Anolis sagrei: one gene and its partners. The main gene of each other region encodes a partner of the protein of the gene in region 2 in a complex. Links are inferred from orthologs where the notes say so. Each region holds a gene or a part of one and is shown on either strand. Other genes may lie near its edges. The genes, in order: PTEN, PARD3 and CDH5.

Region 1 (7,246 bases), on a different chromosome or scaffold from region 2:
TTTGACAGCACTTTTCCAACAGCCCCTCCTCCCTCAGGAAGGTGAAGTTTCACAAGGGCCCCTTCCACACAACTGTATAAAATCCATATTGAACTGCAATTATATGGCAGTGTGGACTCAAATAATCCAGGGCCCTTCCACAGAGCTGAATAAAATCCCACATTATCAAAGCCAATACTGTGGATTATTCTGTCTTGATATTCTGGGAGCCTTTCCACACAGCCCTATATCCCAGAATATCAAGGCAGAAAGTCCCACAATATCAGCTTTGAACTGGGTTATCTGAGTCAACACAGCCATATATTCCATTTCAATGCAGAAAATATGGGATTTTATTCAGCTGTGTGGAAAGGTCCCGAGTCCACACTGAGATAATGTGGGATTTTCTGCCTTGATGTTCTGGGATACAGGACTGTGTGGAAGGCCCCTGGGTTAGCTGAGACCACATTTCCATATATCCCACCTCAAAGCAGAAAATGTGGGATTTTGTCCAGCTGTATGGAAGGGGCCCACAATATCTGCTCTGAACTGGATTCTCGAGACCACACTGCCATATAATCCAGTTCATAGCAGGTAATGTGGGATTTTATTCAGCTGTGTGGAAAGGCCTGAGTCCACACTCAGATATTCTGAGATATAGGGCTGTGTGGAAGGACCCTGGGTTATCTGAGTCCACACTGCCATAACCCTAACCCAGGGCCCATCCACACAGCTCTATATCCCCAAATATCAAGGCAGGAAATTCCACGATATCTGCTTTGAACTGGGTTATCTGAGCCCACACTGCCATATAATCCAATTCAAGACAGCTGTGCGGAAGGACCCTGAGTCTACACTCAGATATTGTGGGATTTTCTGCCTTGATATTCTGGGATATAGGGCTGTGTGGAAGGGCCCTGGGTTGTATGAGTCCACACTGCCATAACCCTAACCCAGGCCCCTTTCACACAGCTCTATATTCCAGAATATCAAGGCAGAAAATCCCACATTATCAGAGTGTACGCAGAGTTCTTCCACAGTCCTATATTCCAGAATATCAAGGCAGAAAATCTCACAATATCTGCTTTGAACTGGGCTATCGGAGTCCACACAGCAATATATTCCAGTTCAATGAAGAAAATGTGGGATTTTATTCAGCTCTGTGGAATGGCCCCGAGTCCACACTCAGATAATGTGGGATTTTCTGCCTTGATGTTCTGGGATATAGGGCTGTGTGGAAGGGCCCTGGGTTGTCGGAGTCCACACTGCCATAAGCCTAACCCAGGGCACTTCCACACAGCTCTATATCCCCGAATATCAAGGCAGAAAATCCCAAATTATGTGAGTGTACTCAGAGCTCTTCCACGCAGCCCTATATTCCAGAATATCAAGGCAGAAAATCCCAAATAACTGAGTGTACTCAGTTCTTCCACACAGTCCTATATTCCAGAATATCAAGGCAGAAAATCCCACAATATCTGCTTTGAACTGGCCAATCTGACTCCACACAGCCATATATTCCAGTTCAATGCAGAAAATGTGGGATTTTATTCAGTTGTGTGGAAGGGCCCTGAGTCCACTCAGATAATGTGGGATTTTCTGCCTTGATGTTCTGGGATATAGGGCTGTGTGGAAGGGATCTGGGTTGTCCGAGTTCACACTGTCATAACCCTAATCCAGGGCCCTTCCACACAGCTCTATATCCCCGAATATCAAGGCAGAAAATCCCACAATATCTGCTTTGAACTGGGCTGAGTCCACACAGCCATATATTCCAGTTCAAAGCAGAAAATGTAGGATTTTATTCAGCTGTGTGGAAGAGCCCTGAGTCCACACTCAGATAATGTGGGATTTTCTGCCTTGATGTTCTGGGATATAGGGCTGTGTGGAAGGGCCCTGGGTTGTCCAAGTCCACACTGCCATAACTCTAACTGAGGGCCCTTCCACACAGCTCTGTATCCCTGAATATAAAGGCAGAAAATCCCAAATTATCTGAGTATACTCAGAGCTCTTCCACACAGCCCTATATTCCAGAATATCAAGGCAGAAAATCCCACAATATCTGCTTTGAGCTGGGCTGAGTCCACACAGCCATATATTTCAGTTCAATGCAGAAAATGTGGGATTTTCTGCCTTGATGTTCTGGGATATAGGGCTGTGTGGAAGGGCCCTGTGTTAGCTGAATCCACATTTCCATATATCCCATCTCAAAGCAGAAAATGTGGGATTTTGCTCAGCTGTATGGAAGGGGGATCTGAACCGGATTCTCTGAGCCCACACTGCCCTGCAATCCAATTCAAGGCAGCTGTGTGGAAGGGCCCTAAAGGAGGCGAAGGCGCAATCCAAGCGAAGGCGACCCACGGGAGGGATACAGGTCAGGTCTAGATCGAAGCCATCCTCCTGGTATCTCCTTTTGTTCCTGCTGACGATCTCTTTGATGATGGCGGTCATGTCTGGGAGCCGGGAGCCGCTGAGGAACAGGGCGGACAAGCACGGCGGCGGCTGCAGGGCGCAGAGGGCGCGGAGCCTCGGCGGAGGAGGAAGAGGCAGAGGAGGCGGAGGAGGGGGAGGCTGGCCCCCTCCCGCTTCGGCCCGCCAACGGTGAGGAGGACGGCGGCGGCGGCGACTGCTGCTGCTGCTCACGGAGCGGCTCGAAGAAGAAGGTGGAGACGATGACGGTAAGGCGGCTGCTGCTGCTTCTCCTCCTCCTCCTTCTTCTTCTTCAGGCGAAGGCCCGGACGCGGCCTGGCCCAGCGGCGGCGAGAGCGTCGCTTCCTGAGGCGAGGAGGAGGCCGAGGAGACTGAGGAGGAGCCGCCGCCGCCGCCGCCGAGGCTCCCTCCTCCTCCTCTCTCCCGCGGGCTCGAGCGGCGGCGGGGCTCCAGGAGGACCGGCGACGGCAGCAGCTTCGCCCGCTTTTCCCCACCCGCCCGAGCGGGCGGGCAGGCAGGTTGCTCCTTCCCTTGCTTTCCGAAAGCGGGAAACGCAAAAACAAAAAAGGACGAAAAAGGAGGCGGGCGGGCCCGAGAAACAGAATTAAAAAATCAATAAAATAGCCCTCTCAGGTCCTGAGGGGAAGGCGGCCTCCTCGCCTCATTCCTCTGCGCGGCGGTTGGGTCGCCTTCCTTTCCTTCCCTTTCCTTCCTTCTTCTTTGCCTTCTGCCGCGCACGCGTAGAAGAGCCGAGCCGATTTTTTTCTCTCCTCCTCCTCCTCCCTCCTCCCTCCCCCCTCCCTCCTTGTCTCCAAGAGAGCGGCTGTTCCTTCAATCGCTGACACCCCCCTTTTTTTTCTTCTTCTTCTTTTCCTTTCTTCCTTTTCCTGACTTTCTTCTCCTTCAAGGCTCACTTGCAGCCTCGCTTGCGCCAGCCAACCATCATGGCTGCAGCTTCCGAAAGAGAGGCAGAGCGAGAGGGAAAAAGGAAGCAAAGGGAGGGGGGGAGAAAAGGAGGGGAGGGGGAGGGAGAAAAAGGAACAGCGCCGAAAGAGAGAGGGGAGGGGGAGGAGGAGGGGGAAAAAAAGTCAGCGGGAACGCATCACTCCGCTCTTGGTGAGCTCCCTCCGCCGCTGGAGGAAAAAGGAGTCCGCCGCCACATCACCGCCTCCAAATCTCTTCCTCCGACTTTTCCTTCCTTTCTTTCCGTTCCTTTCTTTCCGTTCTTCCTTCCTTCATCAAAAGCAGATTCAAGCCGAGAAGGGCGATTGCTCCTAGACTGGAAAAGAAGAAGAGGAGCGCAGGCGTAGAGAGAGAGAGAGGGACACGTTCGGAAGCGGCGGAAGGATATCCCACAGGCGATTGCCTCATCCCAATGACGGGCTAATTCCCCCCGGAGTCACGTGACGGGTGTAAAGCAGAGGAAAGGGAGGGGGCACTTCCCGCTCCTCCGCCTCCTGAGCTGAGGCTGCTTCTGCCCCACTTCTTTCCAAGGGAGGGCTTGCATCAGTATCACAGCCTTTTCTATTGTACACCCCTTGCAATGGCCCTTTTTTTTTGCAGCAGGAGGTGCCTTTGGTCCCCAAGAGCCTCCTTGCAAGGCTTATTGATGCATTGGCCTAGCAGCCACCCTTTCACATTGGCTTTTGTTGTCCTGGTTGCAATCCCTGGTTAGGCTGTCCAGTCTGGGGTTGAGACCTTGCACCAGTGGGCAAAGAGAATCTCTGGGGAGGCCCTGCTCTAGGCCCTACCATTATCACAAGTGAGACTGGTGGGGACGAGGGACAGGGCCTTCTCGGTGGTGGCCCCTCGCCTATGGAATGCACTCCCCAGGGAGATTAGGTCATCAACATCCCTCCTCTCTTTCAGAAGGAAGCTAAAAATCTATATGTGGGACCAGGCTTTTGGGTAAGCTGGCAGATGGACAAAGACAATGATGACCAGAGTAGGAAAGGACAATGACGATGTTAGATGGATTACCGATTTATGAATTGGCGAACATTGACCACAAGATGATTTTATTGCTGCTATTGTACCGTCTTGATTGTTTTAACTAGTTATAACTGTTGACGCTATATTGTAATTTTGTATATTTATTTTGTGAATTGTTGGGCATCGAATTGTGCCTTTTGTAAGCCGCCCTGAGTTCCCCCTAGAGCAATGGTTCTCAACCTGGGGTCCCCAGATGTTTTTGGCCTACAACTCCCAGAAATCCCAGCCAGTTTACCAGCTGTTAGGATTTCTGGGAGTTGAAGGCCAAAAACATCTGGGGACCCCACGTTGAGAACTACTGCCCTAGGGGGTTGAGAAGGGGTAGAAGCACCCCAAATAAATAAATAAATAAATAAATCTTTGCCCATGCTCTCATACCTCACAACCTCTGAGGATGCTTGCCATAGATGCAGGCGAAACGTCAGGAGAGAATGCTTCTAGAACATGGCCATATAGCCAGAAAAAACTACAACAACCAAGAATCAGAACTGCTTCCTGTTGGGTCTTTGTGATTGCATATGAGCCGGCGCAAACTTTAAGATCTTCCGGGGGAGGCCCTCCATTCGCTCCCACCACCGTCACAAGCACAGTTGGTGGGGACGAGAGAGAGGGCCTTCTCGGTGGTGGCCCCTCACCTCTGGAACACCCTTCCTGGGGAAATAAGACAGGCCCCATCACTCCCCTCTTTTCGTAAGAGCCTGAAGACCTGGTGGTTTAAACAAACCTTTGAGAATGACTAGTTCTTGCTCTGCCCCAGATACTGTTGAAATTGGCCATATCTTCTTCTGCCAATTACCCAGGTCACTCTCTTCTGTTAGGCCCTGGAAATGTATAGCCATAGACATGTACAGCCATAGACTAAATCACATTAGCCTGGCCTGGCCTTTTAAACTGCCTTGATCAGACATGATTATTTTAAATATATGTGCTATTGTGGTTTTAATGCTTATACTGTTTTGTTAATTTTATGTTTATGCCTTTTTTTCTTGTATGTATTGATTATGTTACTTGGAAACCGTTCTGAGTCCCCTTGGGGAGATAGAGCGATATATAAATAAAGTGTTGTTGTTGTTGTTCCAGGATGTGGCACTCAAAGGATGCACATCATGGGGATTGCACAGCCCCATGGATACATAGCATGAGGATTGTGGAGATTGTATTGTCGAAGGCTTTCACGGCCAGAATCACTGGGTTGTTGTAGGTTTTACGGGCTATATGGCCATGTTCTAGAAGCATTCTCTCCTGACGTTTCGCCTGCATTTCTAGCAAGCATCCTCAGAGGTTGTGATGTCATCCACAACCTGTGAGGATGCCTACCATAGATGCAGGCGAAACGTCAGGAGAGAATGCTTCTAGAACATGGCCATATAGCCCGAAAAACCTACAACGCATTGTGGAGACTTGGTAACTAGGATGGCATGGCATGGAGATTACAGAATAGACTAGCTTTATTTGTCATTGCGCTATTGCACAACAAAATGACATGCCTTCCCCTGTACGCACCACAAAACAACACACCACCTCCACACAGCCTTCAATGCTACATCGGTGCAAAACCACTGAGTTCAATATAGCCACAGGTCTAGGATAAAAGCTATCCTTCAGTCTGTCTGTCCTTGTCTTTGTCACACTGTGCTGTCTGAATAGAATAAATGATAAAGGAAATGCAGGACTGTTCCCAGAGGAAAATAAGGGAAATAGTGGAAAAGAGATGGATACATGTAGGGGACAAGAGCTATTAAATATAGAATTTTTAATCTACTTTTTGTTAAATTGTTAAAAATATATATACTATTTAAGTCACCTATATTATCTTCTAAACTTCCTCACGAGAAAAAATGGTTATGTTCTACTAGTTTGTACTAAATTTAAAAAAACATTTAAAAAGAGAGATGACCCCAAGGGTACATAGCATGAGGATTGTTGCGCCCCTTGGTACCCAGGGTGGCCTGAAGATTGCACAACCCAATGGTACCTACTAGGGCTGAATACTATGGAGATTGCACCACCCCTAGCTCCCAGGGTGGCATGGAAATGACATAACTCTGGGACCTAGGGCTGCACAGTATGGGGATTATACCACCCTTTGGTACCCAAGGTTGCATGGGATAGGGGTTGATCCCTTAGCCCCCCAGGGATGCGTGGTATGAAGTTTACACAAACCCTGGTACCTGGGATGGTCCTGGAATTGCACAACCCTTGGCACCCAGGGATACAGAGCATGCAGATTACATGGCCCCTGGCACCTGTGATTCTATCAGGATTGCACAATGCCTTAGTGTCCAGAGATGCAAAGCATGACCCTGGATACCTTGTGGGTGGGGATTGCACATCACCCGGCACGTAAGAAAACATAGCATTAGGATTCCATGGCCCTTCTCACCCAGAACTGCATAGTATGGGGATTAAATGAACCCTTGGCACCCAGGGATGAAAGACATGGTGATTGTACAACCTCTGGCATCCAGGAATGATTGGCATGGGGACTAAATGGCCCCTTGGCACCCAGAGATGCAGGACATGGAGATCACACACCTCTTGGCACTTGGGTTGGTGCTGGAATTGCACAACCTCTTGACATCCAGGGATGCAGGACACAGAGATGGTGCAACCCCTGCGCCCAAGACTGCATGAAGTTTGCCCAATTCCTTGCATACAGCATGGGGACTGCACTGCCCCTTGGCACCCATGGCTGCATAGTATAGCGTGGTACATGCCTTAGTTGCCTCCAGATTGGATTACTGTAATGCACTTTACGTGGGGCTGCCCTTGAAAATGGCCCGGAAATTCCAATTGATACAACGGGCGGCAGCCAGGTTACTAACTGGTGCGACTTACAGGGAGC
Region 2 (7,071 bases):
CAAAGCCAACCCACCTCTGAATAAATCTTGCCAAGAAAACCCCGTAACAAGTTGGCCTTGAACCTTTGCATAGTATGGTTGTAATCATGTTTACTCACAAGTCACCCAGCAAAATAAACACAGTTCCCCATCCTGTAACCAGAACCTGTGCAGGTTTCCTCAAATCTCTAAGAGGGCTTACTCACACTACATAATTATAGTGTTCTTATTCCATTTTAACTGGCATACTTCCATCCTGTGGGCTCCTGGGATTTTTAGTTTGGTGCACTAAAGGGCTTTGGCAGTTCTAAATACTGCTCACTAAACTACCTATAGAGAATTAGTGCAGCACAATGGTTTAAGTCAGGGGTCCTCAAACTTTTTAAACAGAGGGCCAGGTCACAGTCCTTCAAACTGTTGGAGGGCCGGGTTATAATTTGGAAAAAAATCCATGAATGAATTCCTATGCACACTGCACATATCTTATTTGTAGTGCAAAAAACACTTCAAAACAATACAATAATTAAAATGAATAACAATTTTAACAAATATAAACTTATTAGTATTTCAATGGCTGATGAGATGGGATTGTTGTTGTGGTTGTTGTTGTGGTTATGTGCTTTCAAGTCATTTCAGACATAGGTTGACCCTCAGCAAGGGCAGGGTAAATTACCTTGGAGGGCCATATCCAGCCCTTGGGTCTTAGATTGAGGACCCCTGGTTTAAGTGATTAACTATTTTTAAGGAGACAAGGGTTTGAATCCTTACTCTTACATGGGGACCGCCTGGGTGATTCTGGACAAGTAACATTCTCTCAGGTTCAGAGAAAGGTGAACTCAGAAATATGAAAGAGTAGAGCTTGTGGTCTACCTAGGTAAGTGTGAATGTTGCAATTAGCCACCTTGATTAGCATTTAGTGGCCTTGCAGCTTCAAAGCCTATCTGGTTGCTGCCTGGGGGGATCCTGTGTTGAACAAAATCTGGCTAGGTAAAGATTTTCCCCTGACATTAAGTCCAGTTGTGTCCGGCTCTAGGGGGTGGTGCTCATCTCCATTTCTAAGTTGAAGAGCTGTTGTAGTTCGTAGACACCTCCAACCATGCTGGCATGACTGCATGGAGCTCTGTTACCTTCCTGCCGGAGTGTTACCTACTGATCTACTCACATTTTGCGTGTTTTCAAACTGCTAGGTTGGCAGAAGCTGGGGCTGACAGTGGGAGTTCAAACCGCACCCCAGATTAGAACCTGCAACTTTTTGGAAAGCGAGTTCATGCAGCTCAGTGGACCTTGTCGGCTCTGTGGTCTAGAAATGGAGATGAGTACCACCCCACAGAATTGGACAAAACTGGACTTAATGTCAGGGAAAACCTTTACCTAGCCAGATTTTAACACAAAACATTTAGCTCATATACATACATACACATACACACACACTCACATATGTATATGTATCTCTGTGTGTGTATGTCTGTGTGTATATATACACACACGCAAACACACACACATACATACATACATATATATATATACATGTATATGTATGTAAAAGGTAAAGGTTTTCCCCTGACATTAAATTCAGTCGTGTCCGACTCTGGGGGCTGGTGCTTATCTCCATTTCTAAGCCAAAGAGCCGGCATTGTCTGTAATAATAATAATAATATAATAATAATAAACTTTATTTATACCCCGCTACCATCTCCCCAAGGGACTCGGTGCGGCTTACATGAGGCCAAGCCCGAAGTACATCAAACAACATCAATAACACAACATTAATAAACAATCAATAAAATACAAATCATATAAATCACATAACAAAAACAATAATCAATAATGACATATTAAAAATGGCCGGGCCAAATGTAATAGATTGAAATTGAAAATATGCTGACATGAACAGGCAACATGTAACTGGGATAGGATTTTTCAGAGAGAAACGAGGGAACGCAATCCATCCTGTCAGTATTAAAGTGCATTATGAGGGCATATTGCTGAGAGTTCTCCTTATTCTGGGAAGGCACACTGGAACAACCATGTTTTCAAGCTCCTCCTAAAGACCACCAATGTTGGGGCATGTCTAATGTCCCTGAGAAGTTAATTCCAGAGTTGAGGGACCACCACCGAGAAGGTCCTCTTTCTTGTCCGTAGACACCTCCAAGGTTATGTGGCTGGCATGACTGCATGGAGCGCCGTTATATATATATATATACCCATACATATATATATACACACACATATATACCTATGTATGTGTATGTATGTATATGTACATACACATACACTACATTCGCAGCTGACAATGGAAGCTCAGGTCACTGCTGCCAGCAAACAGGCCTTTTTCCATCTACGACAAGCGAGGCAATTGGCACCCTACCTATCTGATGAGGCTCTGGCAACAGTCATCCATGCCACAGTCACATCTAGGCTGGACTATTGCAGCGCCCTGTATGTTGGCCTTCCGATGTCTACGACCCGAAAGCTCTGTATTGTTCAGAATGTGGCAGCCAGGCTACTCACAAGAACGCCCATGAAATGCCATATAACACCAGTGTTGCGGCATTTGCATTGGCTTCCAACTGATTACTGTGGTCTATATAAGATGCTAGTTCTGACCTTTAAAATTCTTTACCGCCAGGGTCCATCGTATCTTAGGGACCGCCTCTCCTTCTACCATCATCGGAGGTCGCAACGACCATCCCAACTGACTTACTTTATATACCGGGTCCTAGAGAAGTGCACTTGGAAAGGACCAGACGCAGAGCTTTTTCTTCTTCTGCCCTGCCTTGTGGAATTCCTTGCCACCCTATATGAAAGCCATTAGTGAGTTAGAGCCTTTTACCCTAGCACTTAAAACCTGGCTTTTTACTAGAGCTTTTGATCTTTGTTAATTTTATCAATATCTGTATTTTTATGCTTTACAATTTTAGCTTGTAAATCGCCTAGAGCATCTTGGATGGAGGGCGATTAATAAGTAATTAAATGGTGATGATGAAATATATATGTACATATATATACATGTACATTTTTGAGTCTTAACTCCATATATATATATATATATATATATGTATGATCTTGGGGTCCTCGTGGACAACAAGTTAAACATGAGCTAACAAAAGCCAATGGGATTTTGGCCTGCATTAATAGGAGCATAGTGTCTAGATCTAGGGAAGTAATGCTACCCCTCTATTCTGCTCTGGTTAGACCACACCTGGAATATTGTGTCCAATTCTGGGCACCACAATTCAAGAGAGATATTGACAAGCTGGAATGTCTCCAGAGGAGGGCGACTAAAATGATCAAGGGTCTGGAGAACAAGCCCTATGAGGAGCGGCTTAAGGAGCTGGGCATGTTTAGCCTGAAGAAGAGAAGGCTGAGAGGAGATATGATAGCTATGTATAAATATGTGAGAGGAAACCACAAGGAGGAGGGAGCAAGCTTGTTTTCTGCTTCCCTGGAGACTAGGAACAATGGCTTCAGACTACAAGAGAGGAGATTCCATCTGAACACGAGAAAGAACTTCCTGTCTGCGAGAGCCATTCAGCAGTGGAACTCTCTGCCCCGGAGTGTGGTGGAGGCTCCTTCTTTGGAAGCTTTTAAACAGGGGCTGGATGGCCATCTGTCAGGGGTGATTTGAATGCAATATTCCTGCTTCAGAAAGTACACGGAATGATAGAATCATAGAGTTGGAAGAGGTTCCTGCCTCTTGCAGAATTCTGGGGTTTGTAGTTTTGTGCGCCTGTTCCAAGCTTCTTCCTAAACTACAAACTCCAGAATTCTGCAGGAGGCAGAAACCGGATTTGAAGTGGATTCCCCCCCCCCCCCCGCCCCCTAGTGTGATATTCTAGGATAGATCAGGCATGGGCAAACTTGGGCCCTCCCTCCAGGTGTTTTGGACTCCAACCGCCGGTAGGCGGTTAGGAATGGTGGGAGTTGGAGTCCAAAACAGCTGGAGGGAGGGCCCAAGTTTGCCCCTGCCTGGGAGGGGGGTAGACCTGAAATGTCCAGAGTGTCAACAAAAGAAAGAGGGGAGAGGTATCCAAAAGGAGCGCCTTCTCTTCCCTTAGGAGGGAAGGGAGGGAGGCGTGGGCAGGAGAGGCGGGCGAAGAGAAGGAGAGAAAGAGAGAGAAAAGGAGGGCGGCCCAGTCCGTGCGAAGGGACGCGGGAGGCGGGAAGGAAGGAAAGAAGGCAGGCAGGAAGGCGAGGCGACGCTGAACAGGTGGCCAGAGGCAGCGGGCAGGAAGGCAGGCAGGCAGGCAGCAGAGCCTCCTCCTTCTCCTCATCTTCCTCCTCCTCCTTCTTCTCCTCTTGTTGGCCCACAGCATGTGAAGGGCCATCCACCCGCGGAGGCGCCTTGACCCGCTCTTCCCTTCCTCTTGGGCCTCTTGGGCCGTGGGAGGGGAGGATGAAAGTCACGGTCTGCTTCGGGCGGACCCGGGTGGTCGTGCCCTGCGGCGACGGGAACCTCCAGGTGGGCAGCCTTATCGAGCAAGCCGTGACCAGGTACAGGAAGGCCGTGGCGAAGGTGAGTCTGGGGCTTTGTATCCATGTGTGTGTGTGCGCATTATTATTATTATTATTTATTATTTCATTCACTTATACCCCGCCCTTCTCACCCCGGGGGGGACTCAGGGCGGCTTACAGGGGAGGGCACAATTAGATGCCCGAACACATAACAAGTAATACAAAAAGTAATACATTCAGTTGGGAAGAAGAAGGGAGCCCGAGAAGAGCGCGCCCGGGATCAATATGGCGCTTCCTGGCCTGGGGAGGGCTGGCGAGGGAAGAGGGAGCAAAGTGGGCCAAAGGAGAGCCCTGGAAGGAAGGGCCAAAGGGACAGAGCCCTCTCTCCCCGACTTCCCCCTTCAGTGGGTTCCGGAGTTGGAGTCTCAGCTTGGCCACAATCCGTGGAATAGCGAGCGACTTGGAGTGGGAAACTTTGGTGTGGGAAACTCGTTCCCATTTGGATACTTTTCTGCAATGTTTTGGGGAGGAAAAGGCTTGGAATATGGCTTCTCCTCTTCCTTCTCTTCCTCCTCCCACCACTTTGGGACGAGCAGAGATTTCTCCCTCCTTCCCGGTGTTGTGTTTTGGGGGGGGGGGGGGGGCTGGCGTCGCGAGGAGTCCCGAGGTGTTGGTGTGTTGCCTTCAGGGACTGAACTCTTTGTTGTTGCTCCCGCCTGCCGCTCTTTGGGCTGCAGCAAGTGGTTTGCCCGGAGAGTAGGCTTCCCTTCTTTTCCCATCCCCCTGTCCTTTTCAAGAGCAGCCTTCCCTTCTTTTCCTCTCCCTTCCCTTCTCTCTCTCAGCCTCCGTGCTTTGCAGGCTTCCCTTCTTTTCCTTTCCTTCCCCCCTCTTCCCCCCCCCGCCTTTTCAAGAGCAGGCTTCCCTTCTTTTCCTTTTCCTTCTCTCTCTCTCTCAGACCCCATCCTTTGCAGGCTTCCCTTCTTTTCCTTTCCCTTCTCTCTCTCTCTCTCCCCTCCTCCCCGTCCTTTTCAAGAGCAGGCTTCCCTTCTTTTACCTTCCCTTCTCTCTCTCTCTCTCTCAGCCCCCGTCCTTTGCAGGCTTCCCTTCTTTCCTTTCCTTCCCCCCTCCTTCTCCCTCCCCCCCCCGCCTTTTCAAGAGCAGGCTTCCCTTCTTTTCCTTTCCTTCTCTCTCTCTCTCTCTCTCTCTCTCTCTGAGACCCCGTCCTTTGCAGGCTTCCCTTTTCTTTTCCTTTCCCTTCTCCCTCCCGCGTCCGTTTCTCCCGTGGAAGGAGAGACTTTCCACGCCGAGATCTTCCCCCCCAATCTCTCGAGGTTTTGGAAGGCGTCAGATCAGGAGAATGTGGAGCTTTTTCTAGTTTCCCAAGAAATAGCATAACAAGGAGGAGGGGAAAAAAGGGAGAGATGGCAGCACCTCATTGTCGCCAGCATTCGTAAATATGCTTTATACATACATATAAAGCATATTATTTACACAGAATTGGGACATCATGTGACAGGATCCTGAAAAAAAATGCAAATTATGCCCCTTGTGTTAGATTTTCAAATGTTTTCTGGAGGTGATACAACTCCTTTAGATCTTTATACTGTTTACTTCTCAAGTGCTTCTTGCAACTGTTGCAGAGTTGTGTTTCATAGTTGTTGCAAAGGTTTTTGTTCACAATGAGAGAGAGAGAGCGAGCCTTCTTTGACTCTTTCTCCCTTCCTTTCCTGTCCCTCCCTCCCTGCCATGGGACAAGTTTCCTCCTCCTCTGCCTTTCCCTCTCCACGAGCTGTGGTTTCTGCAAAAGGCTTGAAATCCAGCCCCAGGCTTTCCAGCCAGTCCAGGCCCAAAGAAGCAAGCAGGGAGGGAGTGAGGGAGGGACCGAGGGAAGGGAAACACTCCACCAGAAATCATGGAGTCCCCCCTCTGCCTGGGAGTGGAGTTCTGAGGCTGCTGGAGCATGTGCTCTCTTGGACTTCTGCCTCTTTTCAAGCTGGAAAACAAACTCCTTTATAACAAACCTATGGCGTTAGACCAGCGTGGCTTATCCTCCCCTTGTTTTGAAAAGAGCTCTTATTGGAAAAGAAACAGCTTTTGCTGTAGCGGTGTGGTTGTGCGTAGTTTGAACACTTGCGGTAATACAGACTCTCTGCATTTCCAGAAAAATACTCTCTCAGTGTAGAGGAGAGATATTTGTCTTGTTTCTGTGAAGGGGATTCAAACCATTATTACATTTCAGGAGGAACTGTGGCTGATGTGTCCTTCCAGAGAATCCAGTCTGTTACACACTAACTTGCCCTCCTACTCTGCTTGCATCATTCCTGGTTTTGTGTCCAGTCACCACTTCTCTCCATACAATTCATAAATATATCTGAAACAGGCCCAATTTTGGGGTAGGGGGAGGGGGAGACACATATAATTATTATTATTCAGCCTTGGAACAGTATGTGAGCATGTACAAAAAACATTGAGCGTCCCTGTATTGTCAAACTGAGATGTGAGCTTTCCCGGCTGTAAGGCCATGTTCCAGAAGCATTCTCTCCTGATGTTTTGCCTGCATTTATGGCAGGCATCCTCAGAGCTGGGGTTTTTTTTTGGTCGTGTCAGGAGCAACCTGGGAAACTGCAAGTCGCTTCT
Region 3 (7,206 bases), on a different chromosome or scaffold from region 2:
TTAAGAAAAGAAAATCTGTTGACAATGATGTTTGTGATGAACCCATGGAGTGGCGATACAAGAAACTACACAAGAATCAAGTGTAGTAAAGGAAGCGTAAAGGAAAAAATATCCAAACCTTATTTATACAGTAGAGATTATATGAAACAGATAGATAGATAGATAGATAGATATTCAATATATAAAGGTAAAGATAAAGGTAAAGGTTTCCCCTTGACATTAAGTCTAGTCGTGTCGAACTCTGGGGGGTGATGCTCATCTCCTCTTCTAAGCCAAAGAGCCTGCGTTGTCCATAGATGTCTCCAAGTTCATGTGGCCAGCATGACTGCATGTAGCACCGTCACCTTCCTGCAGAAGTGGTACCTATTGATCTACTCACATTTGCTTGTTTTTGAACTTCTAGGTTGGCAGAAGCTGGGCTAACAGCAGGAGTACATTGCGCTCTCTGGATTTGAACTGCTGACCTTTCAGTCAGCAAGTTCAGCAACTCAGTGATTTAAAATGCTGCGCCCATGGGGACTCTCTCTCTCTCTCTCTCTCTCTCACACACACACACACACAATCTGTAGTATACATTCCTATAAGAGATTGGTTTGACCTCCAGTTTGCAAGTAAAACTGAATTGCTGCATCACAAAAGGAGGCGTTGTCTAAAAAATACGTGTCACCAACACAAAACCGCTCTGTGTCCCCTTCGGGGTTGAGAAGAGTGGTGTATAAATAAAGCAAATAAATAAATAATAAATAAAATGTTTGGAAAACTTTGGATTAGAGAATGGGACTATTTTGCAACTTCTGTTTTAAATATATTGTCAAAGACTTTCATGGCCGGAATCACTGGGTTGTTTTAAGTTTTTCGGGCTGTATGGCCATATTCCATGTTCTGTTTTAAAGTTTTCCCGGCAGTGGTTTGGTACCTTGGGTTATGATTTAAAATGCTGCCACTTTCACAAAAACACAGCTCAGTGTCTTATGAGATTTTGCAATCTATGAGCATCCTGGAATGGGGAATATTCTGAATGTAGATATGTTTCTCCAACCATGCAATTTGAGCACAGCGGTGCTATCAATAAAGCCAGCTTGCAACCACACATCCTGGACAATTGTAGGGTCCCTTGATTTGGCCCATCACATTCTGACAATATCCCAAAAGAGCTGTTAACTAGGGCCCTTCCACACAGCCATATAACCCAGAATATCAAGGCAGAAAATCCCACAATATTTGCTTTGAACTGGATTATCTGAGTCCATATATATTCCAGTTCAAAGCAGATAATGTGGGATTTTATGCAGCTGTATGGAAGGGGCCTTATTTTCCCATTGTTTTGCATTTGTAAACCATTTCTGAAACAAGTAACATATACATCATCATCATCTATATAAATAAAAATGTAATGTTCGTTTGTGCTACCATCAGAACTCAAAAACCACTGGGGGAATTGACACCAAATTTGGACACAAGACACCTAATAACCCAATGTATGTCCTCCACTCAAAAAATTGATTTTGTCATTTGGGAATTGTCGTTGCTGGGATTTATAGTTTACCTACAATCAAAGAGCATTCTGAGCTCCACCAATGATGGAATCGGGCCAAACTTAGCACACAGGGCTCCCATGACCAACAGAAAAAACTGGAAGGGTTTGGTGGACATTGACCTTGAGTTTGGGAATTATAGTTCACCCACATCCAGAGAGCACCGTGGACTCAAACAATGATGGATCTGGACCAAACTTGGCACGAATATTTCATATGCCCAAATATGAACACAGAAGGAGTTTAAGGGAAATAGATCTTGACATTTGGCAGTTGTAGTTGCTGGGATTTATAGTTCACCTACAATCAAAGAGCATTCTGAACTCCACCAATGATGGAATTGAACCAAACATGGCATACATGACTTCCATGATGAACAGAACACACTGGAATGGTTTGGTGGGCATTGACCTTGAGTTTGGGAGTTGTAGTTCACCTACATCCAGAGAGCACTGTGGACTCAAACAATGATGGATCTGGACCAAACTTGACACAAATATTCCATATGCCTAAATATGAACACAGATAGAGTTTGGAGGAAATAGACCTTGACATTTGGGATTTGTAGTTACTGGGATTTATAGTTCACTACAATTAAAGAGCATTCTGAAACCCACAAACCACAGAAATGGGGCAAACTTCCCACACAGAACCCCCATGACCAACAGAAAATACTTAAGGCCATCCAGTCCAACTCTCTTCACCAGGGCAAGAAAATGTAATCAGAGCCCTCCTGACAAAGAGCCATCCAGTCATAAATATAGATAGATAGATATGATTCTCTCACACACAGAGAGATATAGTATCATAGATTTGAAAGAGACCCTTAAAGAAGGACTATAATATGTTGCATATTCCAGAGTAGGCAAACCAGACACTCTCCACATCAACACTGACAAAGAAACAACAAGAAGTACTGTTTTCCCACAAGCATAAAGGAATTACATATATTAGAAACCAACACTTTCTCATTACTTCATTTTCCAGGTCACCAGATTGGGCCACAGCAATGCCTGGCAGGGGACAGCTAGTACTTAACATAAAATAATTGACTATGAAATAATAAACACAATAATGAAATGTAGGTGCAATTATGGAAGGCATGATGGGAAAAATGCAATACAAAGCCATCCCAACATAACTTTTAAATCATAGAATCATAGAATCAAAGAGTTGGAAGAGACCTCATGGGCCATCCAGTCCAACCCCCTGCCAAGAAGCAGGAATGTTGCATTCAAATCACCCCTGACAAATGGCCATCCAAGAGGAAGAGACATAGCAAGTTAGGCAAGAACAAGTGCACCAAGAGCAAGAATCCTTCAATATCCCAATCTTTTCCTTGATTCTTACCTGGCTTGGGCTTTATCCGAATTGACACAATTCCGTTACCTCTGTCCACGTAATGTTCTCTATGTCCTGACCGGGTAAAGTGTAATATCTAGAACATAATGCAACCCACTATTACTCTGCATTGAGTAATACAGGGAGTGTTCGGCTTCCCAGTCTCCAAGGTTTCCCAGCTGGGAGTCTGCCCTTTTCCCGTCCTGCATCCCGGCATCCTGTTATTGTTCCAAGCCTTAGTAATGCTGGAAAGAAAAGGGTGTGGAGGAAATCAGATAAAAAGTATTTTTTTTTAAATTCACTACCTTGGGCCTGGGAGGAACAAGTAAAAAAAGAGCCTCAGGAGAGAAGGAAGGAAGAAAGACAAAGAGGGAACAAGACTGACAGAAAGAAAGATGGGAAGAAAGAATTCCTTGATATCAGTGTAATACAACATCAGTAACTGGATTTCATTACATTTCTGAAAAGAGAGGCCTGCATTTTCTGGCACTCCTCAGCAAATTGGTCCTAAGGGTTAGTTTAGTTTCAACATTTTCGCCCACTGAGGCACACGGCCAAAGAGAACTTTTGCACGTTTCCTACGGCAGGCAAAAGGCTTAAATCCGAAGAACAGTGGAAATATAGTCTCATACTGGATCAGGCAAAGATGAAGTACTTTGGCCACATAATGAGAAGACAGGAAAGCTTGGAGAAGAGATTTTTTTTTTGTCATGTCAGGAGCGACTTGAGAAACTGCAATCGCTTCTGGTCTGAGAGAATTGGCCGTCTGCAAGGACGTTACCCAGGGGACGCCCGGATGTTTTGATGTTTTATCATCCTGACATCCGCCAGGAAGTAGCAGCCAATAGTGAAAAGACCAAGGCAGTGATATCTCCAGCTCATCCCCTGTTTGGGTATCAGCCAGCACGTCAACGACTTAAATCAAGATCTACAGAGACACTCACTGGAACACCTCAGCAAGCGAGAGTCCAAAAGTGGCAGGCTCAAACCCAGAACCTCAACCAATGGCTGAGACACACAGAAGACTGGGCGACTTGGAAGATGCTGAACAGACTGCGCTCTGGCACCACGAGATGCAGAGCCAACCTGAAGAAATGGGGCTACAAAGTGGAATCCACGACATGCAAGTGTGGAGAAGAGCAAACCACTGACCACCTGCTGCAATGCACCCTGAGCCCTGCCACATGCACAATGGAGGACCTTCTTGCGGTAACACCAGAGGCACTCCAAATGGCCAGATACTGGTCAAAGGACATTTAATCAACTACCAAGCTTGCAAATTTTGTGTTTTGTCTGTCTGTCTGTCTGTTTTGTTCTGTTAGAAATGTAATACAATTGTCTGGTTGCCTGACACGATAAATATACATCCTTGTGGGAGGCTTCTCTCATGTCCCCACATGAGGAGCTGGAGCTGATAAAGGGAGCTCATCCAAGCTCTCCCTGGATTTGAACCTGTGACTTGTTGGTCTTCAGTCCTGCTGGCACAGGAGTTTAATCCACTGCACCACTGGGGGCTCCTTGGAGAAGAGATGATGCTGGGGAAAATGGAAGGAAAAAGGATGAGGGGCCAACCAAGGCAAGATGGATGGATGTTATCCTTGAAGTGACTGGCTTGATCTTCGAAGGAACTGGGGGTGCTATGGCTGACAGGGAGCTCTGTTCCAGGGGGTCACAAAGAGTCGGGAGCGACAGAATGAATAAACAACAACAACTGGATCAAAAATGGTCTCTATAGCTTTGTCTTTCTGAATATAGTGCTCTTTCAATATACTCTGTTTCCCCACAAAATAAGACCTACCCTGAAAATAAGTCCTGGCATGATTTTTCAGGATTTTTGAGGATGCTCGAAATATAAGCCCTACTTAAAAAATAAGCCTTAGTTACAGTTCTCAAAAAAGTCAGTTTGGAAAAATTAGATATGCCTTGAAAATAAGCCCTGACTCAATGATTCTTAACCTTCATCATGCTGCGCCCCCTCAATATAGTTCCTCATATTGTGGTGACCTCCAACCATAACATTGTTTTTGTTGCTACTTCATAACTGTAATTTTGCTCCTGTTATGAATTGTAATGTAAATATCCGATATGCAGGATGTATTTTCATTCACTGGACCAAATTTGGCACAAATACCCAATACACCTAAATTTGAATAATGGTGGGGTTGGGGGGAAGGATGGATTTTGTCATTTGGAAGTTGTCATTGCGTGACATGATTTAGAATTGCTCTTTCAGGAGGGTGGGGGGGATGGGGGGAAAGGGGTTGTTGGGCGATACATAACTAAGGAATGTATAAAATGTCATTTAAGGAATATTTACTTTTGGAATAATGTATATTGAAATAAATTCTGTATGGCAAAATTTTTGTTGATTGTTGGGATGCATCAAATAAAAAGATATATATATATATAATCATAGAATCAAAGAGTTGGAAGAGACCTCATGAGCCATCCAGTCCAACCCCCTGCCAAGAAGCAGGAATATTGCATTCAAATCACCCCTAACAGATGGCCCTCCAGCCTCTGTTTAAAAGCTTCCAAAGAAGGAGCCTCCACCACACTCCGGGGCAGAGAGTTCCACTGCTGAACGGCTCTCACAGTCAGGAAGTTCTTTCTCATGTTCAGATGGAATCTCCTCTCTTGTAGTTTGAAGCCATTGCTCCGCGTCCTAGTCTCTAGGGAAGCAGAAAACAAGCTTGCTCCCTCCTCCCTGTGGCTTCCTCTCACATATTTATACATGGCCATCATATCTCCTCTCAGCCTTCTCTTCTTCAGGCTAAACATGCCCAGCTCCTTAAGCCGCTCCTCATAGGGCTTGTTCTCCAGACCCTTTATCATTTTAGTCACCCTCCTCTGGACACATTCCAGCTTGTCAATATCTCTCTTGAATTGTGGTGCCCAGAATTGGACACAATATTCCAGGTATGGTCTAACCAAAGTGGAATAGAGGGATAGCATGACTTACCTAGATCTAGACCCTATGCTCCTATTGATGCAGGCCAAAATCCCATTGGCTTTTTTTGCCACCACATCACATTGTTGGCTCATGTTTAACTTGTTGTCCACGAGGACTCCAAGATCTATATTTAAAAATATTGGAAGTTGTCATTGCTGGGATTTAAAGTTCACCTACAATCAAAGAGCATTCTGAACTCCACTAACAATGGAATTGAACCAAACTTGAAACACAGAACTCCCATGACCAACAGAAAATACTGGAAGGGTTTGGTGGGCATTGACATTGAGTTTTGGAGTTGCAGTTCACCTATATCCAGAGAGCACTGTGGACTCAAACAACGATGGATCTGGATCAAACTTGGCATGAATACTCAATATGTCCAAATGTGAACACTGGTGGAGTTTGGGGAAAATAGACCATAACATTTTGAAGTTATAGTTGCTGGGATTTATAGTACAGTGAAAGAGGATTCTGAACCCCACCAACAATAGAATTGGGCCAGACTTCCCACACAGAATCTGCATGAACAACAGAAAATACTATGTTTTCTGATGGTCTTTGATGACCCCTATGACACCCCCTCATGGCCCCCCCAGGGGTCCCAACTCCCAGGTTGAGGAATGCTGAGGTAAATGGTTTCATTGCTACACTATAAAGATGGCCAAAGGAACTGCAGCCATTTTATGGGACACTTTCCTAACAACTCCAAGTTCAATAGGGCCTCACCTCCCTTCTTCATTACAGCTTAAGAAGTCTGATCTCCCTTTGTGTGAAAAGACGAAGCTCCACTCACACTATATCATATTTTTATGAGAGCAACAGCAAAAGACAAATAGCGCTTTTAGAAATTTCGATGCATCTATTATTCAGGAAGGTTAAGCAACTAATGAGGGAACATTTTTCAAAGCTTTCTCGGCAGAAGCTGTTTACAATTCCTTTTCCCCCAAAGAAAGGACACAATCTCTCCTCAAGCCGGATGGAGAGGGAAAACAGGAAGGATGTTGAGTGCCTTTCTAGTGAGCGTCCGTTATCATGGTGATCACAATGTAGCAAAGGTGGAGTTACTGAGGCATTTTGTGCCAGCAGTCTCATTTCTGCTCCTGGAGCAATGGCTATCAACCTTCCTAGTGCTGCAACCCCTTAATACAGTTCCTTATGTTGTGGTGATCCCCAACTATAAAACTATTTTAGTTGCTACTTCATAAGTGTAATTTTGCTACTGTTATGAATCATAATGCTTCCTCTTCATCATGGAAAGAAGTGACAAGTGGAGTGCCGCAGGGTTCTGTCCTGGGCCCGGTCCTGTTCAACATCTTTATTAATGACTTAGACGAAGGGCTAGAAGGCATGATCATCAAGTTTGCAGACGACACC

The links.
Region 1: the proteins of PARD3 (region 2) and PTEN are in contact, whole or in part, in an NMR structure (PDB 2K20), measured with the Rattus norvegicus proteins. The link is inferred for Anolis sagrei from reciprocal best matches to the Homo sapiens genes PARD3 and PTEN. Residues at the interface, in NP_112514.1 of Rattus norvegicus: Ala599, Gly600, Leu601, Gly602, Val603, Ser604, Val605, Lys606, Gly607, Asn608, Arg609, Ser610, Lys611, His614, Lys622, Ile625, Met659, Leu662, Arg663, Met666; in NP_113794.1 of Rattus norvegicus: Asp393, Glu394, Asp395, Ser398, Gln399, Ile400, Thr401, Lys402, Val403.
Region 3: the proteins of PARD3 (region 2) and CDH5 are in contact, whole or in part, in an NMR structure (PDB 2KOH), measured with the Mus musculus proteins. The link is inferred for Anolis sagrei from reciprocal best matches to the Homo sapiens genes PARD3 and CDH5. Residues at the interface, in NP_296369.2 of Mus musculus: Ala599, Gly600, Leu601, Gly602, Val603, Ser604, Val605, Lys606, Gly607, Arg609, Lys611, Lys622, Ile625, Asn655, Gln656, Met659, Arg663, Met666; in NP_033998.2 of Mus musculus: Tyr774, Gly775, Asp777, Gln779, Glu780, Glu781, Leu782, Ile783, Ile784.

Annotation. Positions count from the first base shown.
Region 1 is NC_090023.1:182,600,988-182,608,233, reverse strand, and holds the start of PTEN (phosphatidylinositol 3,4,5-trisphosphate 3-phosphatase and dual-specificity protein phosphatase PTEN), read right to left. Parts: upstream 3,021-7,246; 5' UTR 2,431-3,020; coding exon 2,352-2,430; intron 1-2,351. UniProt on the Homo sapiens protein: Dual-specificity protein phosphatase, dephosphorylating tyrosine-, serine- and threonine-phosphorylated proteins.
Region 2 is NC_090026.1:114,015,421-114,022,491, reverse strand, and holds the start of PARD3 (partitioning defective 3 homolog), read left to right. Parts: upstream 1-4,068; 5' UTR 4,069-4,375; coding exon 4,376-4,495; intron 4,496-7,071. UniProt on the Homo sapiens protein: Adapter protein involved in asymmetrical cell division and cell polarization processes. Seems to play a central role in the formation of epithelial tight junctions. Targets the phosphatase PTEN to cell junctions.
Region 3 is NC_090028.1:20,443,831-20,451,036, reverse strand, and holds the start of CDH5 (cadherin-5), read right to left. Parts: upstream 3,092-7,206; 5' UTR 2,886-3,091; intron 1-2,885. UniProt on the Homo sapiens protein: Cadherins are calcium-dependent cell adhesion proteins. They preferentially interact with themselves in a homophilic manner in connecting cells; cadherins may thus contribute to the sorting of heterogeneous cell types.